Canis lupus familiaris: one gene and its partner. The protein of the gene in region 2 binds, or shares a complex with, the protein of the main gene of each other region. Links are inferred from orthologs where the notes say so. Each region holds a gene or a part of one and is shown on either strand. Other genes may lie near its edges.

Evidence for each region.
Region 1: CDHR2 (region 2) and USH1C share a complex: the UniProt entries of both Homo sapiens proteins name them as parts of the IMAC/intermicrovillar adhesion complex. The link is inferred for Canis lupus familiaris from reciprocal best matches to the Homo sapiens genes CDHR2 and USH1C.

The regions. Positions count from the first base shown.
Region 1 is NC_049242.1:40,760,445-40,768,539, forward strand, and holds the start of USH1C (harmonin), read right to left. Parts: upstream 4,191-8,095; 5' UTR 4,074-4,190; coding exon 4,038-4,073; intron 1-4,037. UniProt on the Homo sapiens protein: Anchoring/scaffolding protein that is a part of the functional network formed by USH1C, USH1G, CDH23 and MYO7A that mediates mechanotransduction in cochlear hair cells. Required for normal development and maintenance of cochlear hair cell bundles.
Region 2 is NC_049225.1:37,631,655-37,639,649, reverse strand, and holds part of CDHR2 (cadherin-related family member 2), read left to right. Parts: intron 1-1,584; coding exon 1,585-1,654; intron 1,655-1,802; coding exon 1,803-2,408; intron 2,409-3,187; coding exon 3,188-3,259; intron 3,260-3,939; coding exon 3,940-3,989; intron 3,990-5,369; coding exon 5,370-5,521; intron 5,522-5,658; coding exon 5,659-5,767; intron 5,768-5,858; coding exon 5,859-5,947; intron 5,948-6,392; coding exon 6,393-6,461; intron 6,462-6,568; coding exon 6,569-6,646; intron 6,647-6,728; coding exon 6,729-6,789; intron 6,790-6,869; coding exon 6,870-6,994; intron 6,995-7,522; coding exon 7,523-7,636; intron 7,637-7,718; coding exon 7,719-7,799; intron 7,800-7,995. UniProt on the Homo sapiens protein: Intermicrovillar adhesion molecule that forms, via its extracellular domain, calcium-dependent heterophilic complexes with CDHR5 on adjacent microvilli. Thereby, controls the packing of microvilli at the apical membrane of epithelial cells.

The sequences.
Region 1 (8,095 bases), on a different chromosome or scaffold from region 2:
GACTGTGGGCCCTCCAAAAATGTTGATGGGATGGGATGAATGGATCCAGCCACACTTCCTCTCAGGCCTTCAGAGCATGCATCCTGGGTAGTACTGGGTTTGCTCTTTTCCTGTTTTATTATTCTTCATCTTTTTAAGACACTTGTGTCCTGCTAGCTAGCTGGTGGCACTTGACTCAGTGCTCAGCATGGCTCACCATGCCCTCCTTCTCTGCTTCTCCTATCTCATTTGCTGTTCCTTCCCCATTTCCTCTCCTCGAAAGGTTGGAGTGCCCTGGCTCTGTCCTGGGCCTTCTCTTCATTTGCATCATGTCCCTAAGTGACCTCATTGGTCTCCAGGGTTTGAACGATCACTTATCCTTCAAGGATGCACTGAGGCTCCAGGATAGACTTCTTCCCGCCATCTTCAGACTCCCATAGCTACTGGCTCAATGGTTGACCAGGCATCTCAAAACATTCAAAATGGAACTCTTGGTTTCTGCTATCTCCCCTCTTGTCCCCATCAGCACGCTCCTCCCAAAATGTAGACTCCCTCTCAATGCCTCTCTCCACACCCAGAGCCACCCACCGTCAGAGCCTGTCAGATCTATCTTCTCCTGAATTTTCTGGGTCTCACCACTCCTCATGCTAGTCCAAGCCCTCACCTCCTGTCTCCTATCCCCCTTCTGCTCCCGGCCCCCTCAGTCTCCTCTCTACCAGCACTCAGAACAACCCCTTTTAAACGGAAAGCCATCCCCTCATGGCTGCCTTCCCATCGCTGGAGAACAAAACCCAAAGTCCTGACCGTGGCCTACTGAGCCCCCACCACACTCTATTCAATCCATAATTCCTCTCAGAAACACCATCCCACCTGCTGTTCCTAAAGCCAGCAAGCAGACACTTGCCTCAGGTTATTGTTCCCTCTTCTTGGAATGTTCTTTCAAATACACCCCCAAGGCTCCTTCCTTACTTCTTTCTAGATTCAAGGAGACCTTTCTGACGCATCTGGTTGCTCTCTATCCTCTCATCTCAGTTTATTTTTTTTCATAGCATTTATCACTACTTTGCATTATATGATACTTGCATTGGGTTACTTGTTAACTGTCTGTCTTCCTGACTAAGGAGCCAGGGACTCTGTTTTATTGTTCAATGATTAGAGTACTGCTGGGCATAATATTAGGAGCTCAGTCAACGTTTATGACATGCATGCATGTATGATTAGCAAAACACTGGAAGGCAGAGGCTCTTTCTGACCTCCTCATTTATCCCCTCTTTCTACCCCCAGGTGCCTGGCTGGCCTCGGGCAGGGTAAACCACGGATATCCATAAATGCATGATTGCTAACTAGGCAATAAAGCCCTTTTGGGCAAATGAGTAACCAAATTCCTGAAACCTGCAGGTGCAGTGAGCAGAGGGGCAGCCTCCTTCTTTTGAAAAGCTGGTTCTTTAGGGAAGAGCCTTAGTCTCTGATGCTGCCCTTCCTTCTCCTTGGTATCCTGGCCCAAGGCTGTTGCTGGGAAGGGCATGAAAGTGCTGCCGGATGTCCTGGGGAAACTGCATAAGCCCAGAGGAACAGACTCTCCTCCCCAGCCTGGAGCCTGCTGGCACATCCACCAGGGTGCTCAGCAGGAATCTCCAGGTGGCTGTGGACCAAAGGGTTACTTATAGGTCCTGAGTAGCTGGTCCTTGAATTCCTACTTAGTCCTAATCACCCCCTGAGGTAAGCACTGTGAACCTCATCTCACAGCTGAGGAAACGATAGCCCAGATTAAATGACTTGCCCAAGGTCTCACTGGCAGTGAGTGGCAGGGTTGAGATTGGACCCCGTTCTGCCTAACATCAGATAATAACAACAGCAGACATTCGTTGAGGACTCACTAAACTCCCTACGTGCATGTAGATCTCCTCCAACACTCACAAGGGCTTTATGAGCTAAATATTATTATTATCCTCATTTAACAAATCAAAGAGGCACAGAGAGGTTAATAACTTGCTCGAGGCCACACAGCACATTCCATGACAATATGCCACTTTTCATGCTACCTCCAACAACTAAAGATTTAGGTCATAAGCCATTCCCAAGGGGTAAATGTGCTCTGCAACACCAAAGGAGGGACAGCTAGAGAGCAATGGGCAGGAGCAGTAAATTTCGCCCAGCATGGCTACGTGCCCCCAGCTGTAGCCTCTGCCGCTTTGTCCTCTCTCCCCAGTTCCTAGGTGATCTCCAACCTGGGAGGGGAAGGCTGCTGCTGTCTCGGAAGCAGCAGGGCACAAAGTCCAGCCCAGGGCCTTGCCCAGCCTGGTGTCTGCCCCGCCTGCACACACAGGGACATTAATAGGTAATGACTCCTGTGATGAGGAAGAGCAGAGCAGTGGAAATACAGAGGCCTGAGGCCCGCTGGAGGCTGCAGGGCCTGGAGAAGAAAAACAGAGGCTAACCTCAGGGTGCAGTCAGACACCACGGACCCCAGGGGTAATTCTCCAAAAAGGGGCAAAGACTAGTACCCATAGGGAAAAAACCAATGAGGACCTGATGTTACCTTCTTTCTGCCCAGGGGCAGGAAACTGAAATTCAAGCCTGAGTCTTGGGGGAGGGGACAGAGGTTGGGTTCCTTCAAAGTGGGTTGCCTGAAACCTACACTCACCAAATGTCCTCAGCAGCTGAAATTTCTCTTCTCGTGTCCCTGTGCAACAGGATGCACAGGTGAACCCTGTCTCGTGCTCCGGTTGCTACTTGCCAGTCCCCAAACTCCTGCTGAACTTCCAGCCATCTCTCACTCTTAGAAATCCCCAAGGCCTCTTTTTTTAGGAGACTCATGGCAGTAGAGCTTCCCCTTTTGTACTCCACCAAACCTCGACCCCCACACTCAGCACCCAGCCATAGCGTAGGGTCCCTCTCTCACCTGTGCAGCCAGCAATTCCAGGGCACAGAGGAGGTCTGGCACAGAGTGGGTACTCAAAATACACTTACTAGATGAATGACTGCCCCCTGGCACTTAGCTCCCGTGGCCCACACATTGGCTGGCTACTCTGGCTCCCCTGGGCCTCTCTCTGTGGGGAGAGAAGGGTTAAGCACCCGGACCTTGCCTACCAGAGCTCGGCTTCCTCAGGCCTCAGAAGAGGTTTGGCTTGGTCTAAAGACACTGCCCCTCTGGGCTCTGTGAGGGCCTCAGGGCACACAGTCGTCTCAGGTAGGGCCTGTGGGTAGCTCTAGACACCCCTGGCTTCACCCTTGAGCTCTGAAGCATTCTGAGTCCTGGTGGGGAGGTCCACTGGGGTTACTGCCAGTGGTCCTCTCTCACTTCAGGGCCTCAGTAGCTCCTGCACAGCTCTGGAAACAGTTCTGGAAATGCCCTGGGTGAAATCCAGTAGCTTTCAGTGAGAGCCTCTGAGAATCCTGGACCATCCCTGAGGTCTCCTATTGGGACACACCAGGGGAGCTGTAGCTCTCTGTCTGAAGACTCTGGCTGACTCTCTGTACTTCCTTCTTTCCTCCCACTGCCCCCTGGTCAGCACCAGTTCCTCACCTGCTTCTCAGGCCCTAAGAAATGCCCTGAAATGGGGAGGGGGCTCCCTAAAGTGCTTCTAGCTCGTTTTCTGAGGTCAAAGGACAGAGACAGAGGACCACTTTCCCTTCCGACCAATCCCCACCTCTCAGACACTGTCCCATATCCTCTGCATATGCTCCAACAGCCCTGAGCTTGGGGCACTAGGAGCTGGGATTTGCCCACTACGGGGCATTTCAGAGAAGCTTCCTGTCTCAGGCCAAGCTGGAAGGAATTCCAACACCAGAGAAGCCCCAGCCCTCGGAAGCGCAAGGAGAAAGAATACTTTTTGGAGATCGGTTCACGGGTTCCTACACCTGGAGTCCTCCTGCCCCCTCCCTTATTTTACTGGGGATCCCTGCTGGAAACCAAACCACCCACAGGGGTCCCAGTCCATCCACAGCCCTGAGGCCGGGCTAGAAAAGGGAGGGTAGCGCGGGGCACGTCCATCCCCCCACCGCCCAGCCAGGACTCCGGGGTCCTGAACGCTTTAGGGGCCCCTCGCAGCTCTGACCTTGTGCCGGAATTCTCGAGCCACCTTCCGGTCCATGGCTGGGCCAGGCGGAGCCGCGTCGCCCGCACAACTCGCTCCTTCGGGCGCCCGGAGGCCCCAAGCCGGCAGGAGCCGCAGCGGAGATCCGCGGGCCCGGGAGCGGGGGGGCGGGGCCTGGCGCGGTGGGCGGGGCCTGGCGCGGTGGGCGGGGCCTGGGCGGGGCCTGGGCGGGGCTGCTGGGACGCCCGGGACACCTGTCCTGAAGCTTGTCGCCTCCCACCGACACCCCGAGCGAAGGGTCTGGAGTGCGTGGGTGTGTGTGGTGGTGGCGGCGGCGGTGGCCGGACTCGAGGCCCGGCGCTCCCCTCGGACGGGTCTCCAAACACAAGCAGTTGGGGGACAGGATCTCGGGAAACGTGGGGAGGAGGCTTGGGACTTTTTTGTAGGAGGAGGTCCTGAGACTCTCACAAGGGTGGGTAGGGATAATCCCTGGATCCGCAGATAGCGGGCCATTGGCTCGGCCCCTGAGGCTTTCACCCCCTGCCGGGCATCCCTCTCTCAGCCGACCTACCCTCTATAATGGCCTTCTCCACGGGCTAATTCCCCGGAGGAGGAAATCTTTGATCTGCGAATTCCTTGGGGCCGGGTCTAAAGCGCTCACAGAGGCCTGAATCAGTGGGGTAGCCGTATCCCTCCGGAACTGACTTCCCCTCCCACCTGCCTAGCCCCACCCCACTCCACACACACACACACACACACACACACTCACTGAGACATGGAAGGGCCTGGCAGTGACATCTTGATTTACTGCTGACCTTTACCCAGGGCTCAGATCCCATCTGGTTCATTTGAGTCAATTCATCCAGTTTGTTCAACTCCTAGGTCTAGTGCTGGAGTGTAAAGACAGTGATGAACCAAGTCGGGGACAGACTGAGAGGAAAGAGGGGGTCAAGAAAGGGGCGTATGGGAGAGAGTGGGGATCTTTGATCAGGGGGCTTGTGCCTGGATTTAACCCGGGGGGGGGGGGGTGTTTGCACCATGTCAGGGGGCAGGGGACAGGGAGATGGACAGCAACCCAAAATAGTGAACCACTTACAACTGTAACTTCAGGGACACCTAAAACCCTCCTGTTTTTCATCTTATCTCTAGTATCTGAAGTTTTGCCAACAGACTTATTTTTATTGGGACTAAATTGTCACCTAGTTTAGGATGTAAATCCTTCCTGGAGAAAAACCTTGAAATATTATCCATGTCCTCACCTTAGTATTAACTAGTTAAGTCAGAGATAAAAGGGGAAGACTTGTGGGATTTTCAAAGGTCCAGGAAAGACACTCAAATATGTTCCCCTCCAACTTCCTTTGTTGATGTTCTGCGTCTCTTAACTAAGTCGTGTGGCTGTTATTTCATAGTTGGAATCCAGGCAGAGTGGCAAATGGCCTTTCAAAGGGGATGCAATCCATGGGCCACTTCAATCGTTTTCCATGACCACCACCCTCATAGACTCTCTCCTTCTTTAAATGCTTCCCCTCTTGGTTGTGGGGACTGAGTCAGAGCTTTCCTCTCCTATGAATGTTCCTTTTCAAGCTTCCTCTGCCCTCACCTGTTCTCTAACCAGGGCTTGTTACGTTTCCATCCTTAGCTCCCTCCCCTTCCTCTCATCTATGCCCATGGCTTCAAATACTCTGTGAGGGGCTGTATGCTTTATTTATCACTATATTCCCAGAACACTGTGTGGTAAGAAATAGATGCTCAATAAATTTGTTGAGTGGATGAATGAATGGATGAATGAATGCATCCCAAGTCTATATCCCTGCCTAGGGGTCTCCTGGGACCACCTGCCATCATCACTACCACCATCATCATCATCACCTGCAAGACTTGCATCTGGTTGGTGTTCCAATAACTATTGGCCAAGAGAATGCTGCACAGGTTCCCAAGGCTCCTAATCCCACAGTTCTAGCATTAGCATTAACATTCCTCCTGGACAGGGAGTATATCTTGTTCACAAAATTAAATCGGTGTTTTGTTTTTTCATTTGTTTTTGGTTATTTTTTCATTTTGTTGTTGCTGTTGTTGTTAAAGTCTGGTCTCGAGGGGAGCGGTAATATGGAAGTGTGACGCACTTCTATCATCAGTCAATATTTTCTCAGCTGGGGCCTGAACTAGTGCTGGACATAAAGAGGACTAAGTCACTATCCGTTCCCTAGAGGTGCTCAAAACTGGAGGTAGAGTAGGGACTTGGAGCCCCAGGAAGCTGTAGTAGTGAGTGGTGGGAGCACAGGCCCGGATTCTGCGGGCTTGAGCTTTGGTTCTGCCACTGACAACTGCCCACTGAGTGGCAGGCCCCGGGGCCTCTGTGAAAGGAGAGTGGAAGACCAGACTTCCACAAGCATCGTGGGTGTCCAACGGAAGGGCCTTCAGAGACCCAGGTTTCTAAGATGGGGATCTTTGAGGAGTAAGGGATGCTGCGGGGTGCACTGGCTACCTCCTTGCTCCCCCGGGGTACTTGGAGCCCACTGATCTGAATGCGGCCCCCTCTGGGGAGGGGCAGCCACAGGCGGAGCCGGGCAGCTGGGCATCCAGTCGCTCCAGCTCGGGGAGGAGCCAAGCGCCTGGGAGGCGGGGCGGAGGCCCGGGGCCAGAGAGCGAGCCGAGGCGCCGAGCGGAGGGTGACCCGGCCTTTGCAGGCGAGGGACTCGGCCGGCCGGCCGTGCGCTCCCGCTTCGCAGCTTCCGCGCGCCCCATGGGGTCCCCGGGCCTGGGCGCGCCCTCGCCGGCGCTCTGCCTGCTGCTGGCCTGCGTCTGGCTGCCCCGGGGTGAGCCGGCGGCCGGTCCCTGCGGGTGCCATCTCTCGGTGCCAGGGCAGTGGGCTGGAGGGGGCCGCGGGGTAGGGGGAACGGTGACGGGAGGTTCTAGACAGGGAGGAAAAGGAGGTTTGCGGGGAGGGCAGGGGAGAGGGGAGAGGGAGAGGGGCGCCAAGGAAAAAGAGGCCAGAGACAGCCGGGAGAAGGGAGTCCCAAGCTAGGCAGGATGGAAGGCACCCAGGGTGGCGAGCTGGAGGGAACAGGGGCACAGAGTAGGGGGAGAGTGGGAGACCCTTGTTGGAGAGGTCACCAGAGAGGGAAACGGATTGAAATCTGTAGGGAGAGAGAATGAGGGGGTGAAGATGCATCCTAGAAGATCCAGGACAGGAGGTGGGAGACCCAAGAAAGGGAGGCCTGGCTTGACTGGAAAGCAATCCCCCTTCCCAGGCTTAGCACCCACACCCCAGGGCAACGCAGAGCTGCAGCCTGACCCAGCCCAGGATCCCAGGTGAGTAGGTGCAAGCTTGTGGCTGCCCCACCCATGACTCCCATCTTTATTTCTGGTGTGGATGATCCCAGCGTTTTAGCACAGAGGGTGGGCTGTCCTTGGGGGTGGTGGGGAAGGCATGGCTCATTCTTATTCCCTCACTCACCTTAGGCTTGTTTCTCATCCTAGCCACAGACAGCAGGAGGTGTCCCTTGCCATAAAGGATGCTACAACAGTGATGGGAAGCCAGGTAAGAGGAGGCCTGGGGAAGGGGGGCTTCACTGGGCAGGGGCTTATTTCTGTCTGGGACCGGGGCTGACAGGGAGCTCTATAGGTTGCAGGAAGGTTGTCTCTGCAGTTATTTGGAAGGGGGACAGTGTCCCTAGTATATGTCTGAAGTATGCAAATTCATGATACACTTCTATTCCCACTTACCTAATCTCTTGGGACCCTGCCTGTAGTTGGTTCAGTTTGTTTTTGTTTTATTTCATTTGGGGAGGAGGGCACTAAGATGCAATCTGGACATAGCTGAACTCTCCCCCACCCTGGGGTGAAAGCACAAAGGTGAGGGTTTAGGCGAGTGGAGTTCCCTCTTACTGGCCTGATCTGGGAAGGTATGAAACCGGTAAGATGCCCCACTCCATACCTTGAGCAGTGCTCCAGCTAGTGTGCCTTGAGAGGGAAAGACAAGAACTGGGCCACTCGGTGGGGTTTGTGAGGACGAGCTCACATTGTGTGGATGGGAAGGAGAACCGCAAACTATTAATCTCTTGAGTCTGTACCGTTGC
Region 2 (7,995 bases):
CAGTACCATCTGTGATTTCAAACCTCCGTGGGGGGTCTTGGAACGTTTCTCCCACAGATAAGGGCAGGAACGACCCACTGTATTGGCTCTAAATATCATTCATGAAGTTCTGTCTGAAACGCTCCTATTCCTCACTACCATTCAAAGGTAAAGAGAAGGGGTGTAAAGGGTGGAGGCGCAGAGGGTGAGCAGCTTGCCTAGGGCTGCAGAAGGGGGTTTTGAACCCAGTGCGTCTGCTTCTTCGGTGGCCACCAGTCCACAGGGCACCACCCTCTAAAAAAGCATTGTAACAAAAGTACACCTCTACAGTGTCCATGATGTGGATGGCGCCCCCTAGGCCTGTGCAGTGCACAGCCTTCATCATCCCACACAGCAGCCCTGTGTCCCACTGGGTTGGGATGTGCAGCTTTCCTACAAGGATCAGAGTGAGACCTCAGGGAAAATGGAGAAACAGAAGCAGAATTAGAACTTGTCAGTTTGTTCAGCTGTCCTCGGGGTGAAGTAGGCCAGGAAGAAGGAAGAAAGCAAAATTGCATTTACTGAGCTAGTGGGTCCTTTTACGCCAACAAACTAAACAAACACCTACAACGGTCCCTAGAGGGGTGACTATGAGCCCTCTTGCAGGTGAAGACATTGAGGCTCAGAGAAGTCAAGTCACATGTGAGGCAGAAGGGAAGCTGGATTTGACTCAGAGCTGTGCTCTTAGCCACCCCAGTGACTTAGGGAGCAGCTGGCCACATGCATTGAGACAGAAATGCTGTGCTGGGAAATCACCATCGGAAAATACATCTAGTTAAGGGGGAGATGGCTTTGTTCTTGAAGATGTCCGTTGAACCATTATTTAGAAAAGTGGAAGCCAAAAGCAGACATCTGTGGGCTGCCCTGGGAAGGTCTGGAAAAGCCAAGGGCACCCCCAGCAAACATCACTGATTGGGGAGGAAGCAGCAGGTAGAGGTGGTTCTGTGCTGTGACAACAGTGGCAGTCTCTGTAGGTGTGGGTGGCCAGGGCTAGAGAGGGAAGGCAAGAACAGAAAACAGTGAGCGTCTGAGGGCAGGACCAGGCCTAAGCCCTGGCAGTTGCCTGGAGCTCAGCATCGTCTGAGCACAGAGCAAATGTCCTGGGGTCAGCTGAACTCAGGAGGGATAGGAGAAAAGAGGGGACAAGGGAAAACTTGGGCCACAGGGCCTTGTAGAAACAGTGGTATTGGTGCCAATAGGATAAATCCAAGAGATGAGGAGTCAAGCTAGGCCAGACAGGGACACTGATAGGGACTCAGCCACCCTTCTGGAAAGCAGAGTCTGAGATGGCTCTGAGTTGTAGTCAGAGAAGCAGGGAGGAGGTGGGGCTCCCTGAAAGTGTATCACTAACTTCAGAGGTCCCGCTGCAGGTCTGTGAGTCTCAGGTGTGTGCCCTGGGCTAGTTCCAGCCTTGCCAAGGCCCTTGTCTCGTCTGTGAAGTGAGGAGCTGCTGGCAGAGAGTCTGTGCCTTGAGTCAGAGGAAACACTAGCTCTCAGATTGGCTCTAGGGAGGCTGAACTGTGGGGCTCCTGGTGTCCCTGGGCTCAGACCTTCCTCTGCCCACAGGACATCAATGATAACCTGCCCATCTTCAACCAGTCTATCTACTCCTTCTCGGTGAAGGAGAGGGACCCAGGTAAGTCCTTCCTGGGCCAGGCCGGGCACTGGGGCTGGGGCCCAGTGAGGCATCTGAGCCCTCCCTGCGGCTCTTGGGGGTGGTAAGGGGAGAGGAAGCCTCCAGCGGCTGGGCCAGGGGTCTCTGTGAAGTCTGCCCTCGTCCACAGGAAAGCTGGTAGGCGTGGTGAAGGCCTGGGATGCGGATCAGACAGAAGCCAACAACCGTATCAGCTTCAGCCTGACAGGGAGTGGTGCCAACAACTTCCTGCTCCAGGGCTTGGTGCTAGAGTCTGGGGGCGCTGGGGGGTTCCTTCGGCTGCCTGCAGATGTGAGCCTGGACTACGAGACACAGGCCTCCTTCTATCTGACACTGAGTGCCGAGAACCCAGATCCCCATGGGAAAGAGGCCAGCGCACAAGTCCTTGTGGCTGTGGAGGACGTGAATGACGAACCACCCACTCTGGACTCAGCCTCGCTCCAGGGCATCCGTGTAGCTGAGAATGGCTCACAGCACGGCCTGGTGGCTGAGCTGGTTCCCCAGGATGTGGATACCATGGCTCAGCTGGAGGTACAGCTTGTGAATACCATCTGTACCAAGGCCGGGGTCAACGTGGGCAGCCTGTGCTACGGCTGGTTCTCTGTGCTGGCCAATGGCTCTGTGGTCATCAATCAGAGTGAGGCCATTGACTACGAGACCTGTGACCTGGTCACGCTGGTTGTTCGGGCCAATGACCTCACAACGGACCCCCGCTTCCAGGCCTACAGTGACAACGGTGAGGCGGCCTGGCCTGTGGGATTGGGTGGGCTGCAGGATAGGGACCGTGGGCTGGGGCCCCAGTCCTTACCAGCTGTGTCACTGGGAAAGTTGTGACATCTCCTTAAGCTTCTGTCCCCATTTTTCCGGTGGCGTTGGGCAGTAGGCTGGCAGCAAAGGCAAAACAAAAACACACATGTAAAGTGTTTAGTGAGGTGCCTGGCACAGAGTCAGTGCTTCACTGATGCTACTGTCTTGTGAGGGAGGGTAAAGAGGAAAGTACACTTCACAGTGCTCACATCCCACCTCGGATTGTGATGGCTAGAATAACCACATTAACAGCGAGCCTATTTTGAGAATTTCCTATAGCCGAGAGCTATGCCAGACACCTTAAAAGCATTCTTTATGTTACTCCCACGCAATCGGTGGGGTAGATGATCCCTATCCAATATTATAAATGAGGAAACTGAGGCACACAGTGGCCAGCTCAATAACCTAGCTTACATGCTAGCAATGTCAGTATCATGCTGTGGTCAGGTGGGATATGCCCCAGCCAGGCTCTGCCTGGCCTGATGCTCTTACTGGATGATCTTGGAATAGGTGCTTACCCTCTCTGAGGTATGGGGAGGATATTCCCTGCCACAAAGTCCAGTGGAAACTGAGCGGGCACCCCAGGCCAGGAGCAGGGCTGGGGACAGTGCATGGGAGACGTTGGGAGGGAGGCAGGGGGGAGCATGGCAAGTCCCCAGGCTTTTTGGTTGGGCCTAGAGGCCAGAACCAGCCAAACTTGTTTTCTAGGAAGCCTCGCTATCACCATTGAGGACACGAATGACAATGCCCCCTATTTTCTGCCTGACAATAAGACTTTTGGTAAGTGGGCCAGGCTTTCCCTCCATACTCTGCCAGGATTTCCTTGGGCAGCTCCCATAGACCCTCCTCAGGCCCCAAGTGGACTATTAGAAAGGAAGGCCTCTTTTTCGCTTCTCAGCCTTTTGGCTAAGATCAAGTGTAGAAAGGAAGACCTCTAATCTCGCCTCTCCCCCAGGGTTTCAACAGGAGAGACCTGATTTTTTTTTTTTAAAGATTTTATTTATTTATTCGTGAAAAACACAGAGAGAGAGAAAGGGAGGCAGAGACACAGGCAGAGGGAGAAGCAGAGGGAGAAGCAGGCTCTGTGCAGGGAGCCCGATGTGGGACTCGATCCCGGGACTCCAGGATCATGCCCTGAGCCAAAGGCAGGCGCCAAACCGCTGCGCCACCCAGGGATCCCCGAGACCTGATTTTTCACCACAGTTCGGCCCCAACTCTGAGCCAGCTTCTCCCTCTCTGGGCCTCAGTTTCCCCGTCTGCACAGTAGGAGTGGCTGAGCTGCTAACTGATGGCTCAGAGGCTGTTATAATGGGGGATTTTGATGGTAGAGGGGCTGCGGGAAGATATGGGGAGACTGCGTCCTGAGCTGGGCTTGTGATCAGTTCTCAGCCAGGTGGGCACTGGCACTAACCCCACTGACTCCACTGATCCCACTGACCCCTTCTTGTCCACACTTGTAGTTATCATCCCAGAACTTGTGGTGCCCAACCAGCAGGTGGCTTCTGTCCAGGTAAGCCCATCATATTAGTCCCAGGAGACACAGGACCAAGGCTTTCAGGCCTTTCACTGTCCCTCCAAATGTTTTAACACTACAAAGGAAATTTATTGGCTCCAACCTATGAAAAGAAAGCCCCAGAATGGAGACAAACACTTGCCTAATTGATAGGGTTAAACTTCATTAATTGTTACTTGGTTGTCATAAAAATTTCATGACTATAAAAACTATTTGCAGGCTAGATTTTTTTTTCGCTACACCACAATTCCAAGTCATACAGACAAATCATAACAATTGTAAATTAAATGAGTTCCTTGCTGATAAATAATTTCCAGAGTAAAACTATAAAAATACTTTTAGTGTTCTATGGTGTCAGACGTGGGTGTGTTTGTTAGAGGGCCCTGGCCGCACCACAGGGGCGGGCAAGGCCTCCCACACAGCCCAGGTGCCCGGGCCTGGTGGGGCCTCTTACTGACCTGGGAGCTGCCTGCCTTTCTGGGGCTCAGTTTGCCTCCGGGAAGAAGCTGTCAGTGAGCCAGGGGGCAGTGATATTGGAAGGTGAAGAGGTCGGGTGGCATGTGTGTGCCCCTCCCTGTGTTGTGGGAAGAGCACAGGTACTGAAGATGGATGGACTGGCCTTCCTCCACTTCTAGCTAAGTCTTCAGCAGGATGGGGTCTCCCTCCGAGCCCCAGTTTCCTCTCATCACATGGGTAGAGTAATTCTCTCTCCAGGTTCTTTCAAGCCTTGAAGAGTCTTCCAATCTTCAGCGAATTACATTTTAATGTCATGAGTCTGGCCATAGCTTGGAGCCATTTTCTTTACATGGACTCATTCTTGAAACTTAAACAACAGCTTTGGCCTCATTCTGAACAGTAGACTCACGGGTCTGTATCTTGGCTATATTTTTCCCTAAAAGGCACTAGAATGTGTAAGAATGTTTGTGCCCTCTCCTCTAATCATTTCATGGTCCCCTAGGGGAATTTGTACTCATTGTCAGTAAACACTGAAATGAGGGATTTAGGGGAAGGCCAGGCACACAGTAGGTGCTCAGGAAATTTGAATGTCCCTAAGTGTGTACATGTGTGTGCCTGTGTGTGTGTGTGTGTGTGTGTGTGTGTGTTGGCAGTGGGTGGGGGGAAGCAAGGCAGGATTTCCACATCAGATGGACTTTGGACCGTGACCCGTTGAGTTAGGGGCCCAAAGGCAGAGACTTGTTCAAATCTGGATTTGCAGAGCAAGCACGCCGTTTAAGGTGTTTGCTAAGTTGAGGTGGCCTAGAAGAGGCTGATAGAGATACTGGGACCAGACTCCTGGGCCCTCTCAGCTGCTGATTCCTGCTGGGGAAGAAAGGGGGCCTGGCCTGACCCCTAGGTATTGTCTATTCTTTCCCCCAGGCCAGAGACAATGACTCAGGGAACAACGGGGCCATTCTGTTCTCCATCCTCCAAGTGGATTTCATCGCTAAGGATGGGGCCATGATCCCTTTCCAGGGCTTCTTCCGGGTCTCTACCTCCTCAGAAGCCAACTTGTTCATTGGCAACATTGAGTAACTGTGGGGAGCCCCTGGATGGGGGGCAGTAAGGGGGCCTCAAGACAGTTCCCACCCTGGGAGGTATATAAGTAGGTTCCAGAGGACTCCAGCTTGAGTTCCAAGACTCAGTTGTGCTCTTCTACCTTCAATAGGCTGGTGACCAACCTTGATTCCACTCTCCAAGGCACCTACCAAGTGACAGTCCAGGCCCAGGACAGACCTTCAGTGGGTCCTGCTCAGGAAGCCAAAATCTCCCTGAATGTGAGTGTTGGGCCCTGCCTCTAGACCCCAATACTCTCTGCCAGCTCCTGCATCCTCTGTGTCTCATCTTCCCCATGTCTTCCTCCTGTAGCTCTTCACTGTGGACCAAAGTTACCGTGTGAGGTTGCAGTTTTCCATGAACAAGGAGGAGGTGGGCGCCAACATGGAGGAGATTACTGCGTAGGTTTGGGGCGCCCAGAGGGGGCTGTGGGGAAGAACAGGGCCTGGGAGTATGGACGGGATGTATGTGAAAACTGTCCTTGACCTACATTTGATTTTGTCCCTGTCTTTGGTCTGTACCTATACCTGCATTTCCTCTCTCAATTTCCTAGGAGCCTAGGGTTGGCTGGGCAGAGAGAGGCCTAAATAGGGCTGCGATGTATAGTTGGGAAGGCTGTGCACTGCACAAGGGCACTCTGCTTGCTAAGTCGTAAACCCAACCCCAGAGGAAGGGGCTGCCTTGTCTAATTTGCACAGAGGTGCTACCTGAATAGCCAATGAAGCTGTCCAGAGGAGGTGCCCCTTTTTAATTCACACAATTCCTAATTCCACTGGTAGAGTCCTGGCCATAGGCCTAGACTAAGGCCCCTACCCCATGCTTCTGTGACATCTTCCCCCTTTGCAGGGCTCTTGTTCAGGCCACCAGGACTACTGTCTACGTTGTGAGCATTCAGGACATAGAATCCACAGTTCGGTGAGTGTCCACAGGCCCAGTGGTTGGAGTGAGGACAAGAAGCAGAAACATGAGGGGCCTCCTGGGTGGTTCTGGACTGTTTACCCTTTACCCCTGCCCCATTCCAGAGCCCGGGGACGCTCTTACCTTGATGCCTATTTTGTCTTCTCAAATGGGTCAGCCCTGACACTTGATGAGCTGAGTGTGTGAGTGGGGCTCCCCTTGGGGTGGGCAGGAAGCTTAGGGAATGCCAATGTCCCTCGGGTCTGAGTGAGGTTCTATGGCCAGGATGATCCGGAATGACCAGGACTCACTGACGCAGCTGCTGCAGCTGGGGCTGGTGGTGCTGGTGAGTGTCAGCATGGCGGAGCTAATGCGGGAGTGGGGGGTGGGGAATGCTCACACCCAACCTCCTTCATACTTCTCCAGGGCTCCCAGGAGAGCCAGGAGTCGGACCTGCCAAAGCTGCTCACCAACGTTATCATAGGATTGGGAGTGGCTTTGCTGCTGATCATCGTGATTATGACCACGGCGCTCATGTGTACCCGGAAGAGGTACTGCTCCCATCTCCCCCTGTATCTCCAACTCCGCCTTTCCCACCATCTAAGACATCTGGCAGGTAGAGAAAGCTTGGGTTTAGGCACCTGGTATATCTGAATTTAATCCCCAGAGACCTGTGGTGACCACTTGAATAGGTCATCTCCCCTCCCTGAGCCTCAAGTTCCTTTGCAGAATGAATGTAACACTAGATTCCTCAAGGCACACAAGGAAGCAGTGTGCATCCTGCCACCAGAAAGATATCTGGCACATACTGTGCATTTCATAAATACTGTCTTTTCCCCTTTCCAATATGTTTGGAGTCAGCAGCCACATCTGGATTTGACTCCAGGCCTTGCCACCGGCCAGCTGTGGCTTTTGGCAAACCATTTTCTTTCTCTGGCTATTACTTGTACCCTCTGTAAAATGGTACTAACACTCACACCTGCCAGGGTGTTGTGAAGTCACACTCTCAGTGCCTGCACTGGGCGCACAGTGGGTGTCCAGAGAAAGTAATGACTCCCCCACCCCCTGGTTCTCTGCAGCTACCGCCGGAAGCTTCGGGCTACGAAGGCTGCCAAGGAGGCCCGGAGGACAGCACCAGGGGTGATGCCCTCAGTCTCTGCCATCCCTGGGACTAACATGTACACCACTGAGCGGTGAGCAGGGGTCAAAGGGTGGGTGAGAGTCTCCATGGAGTGTCTCAGGTTCATAAGTGCTTGAATTAGGCCTTCTCTCCAGGGCCAACCCTGTGCTGAACCTCCCCACGAAGGACCTGAGCTTCGAGTCCCAATCCTCTTCCAGTGACCTAGACCACATGAGGTGAGCAGTGATTCTCACAGCCACTCTGGTCAGTGGTGGTGGTGATGGTGGTAGAGGTGGTGGTGGTGATGGTGGAGGTGATGGTGACAGAGGTGGAGATGGTCATCGTGGTGATGGTGGTGGAGGCAATGGTGGTTCAAGGCCATAGACAGGGAAGACTCGGGCTACTAACCATCGAGCTCCATCATCTCTCCCA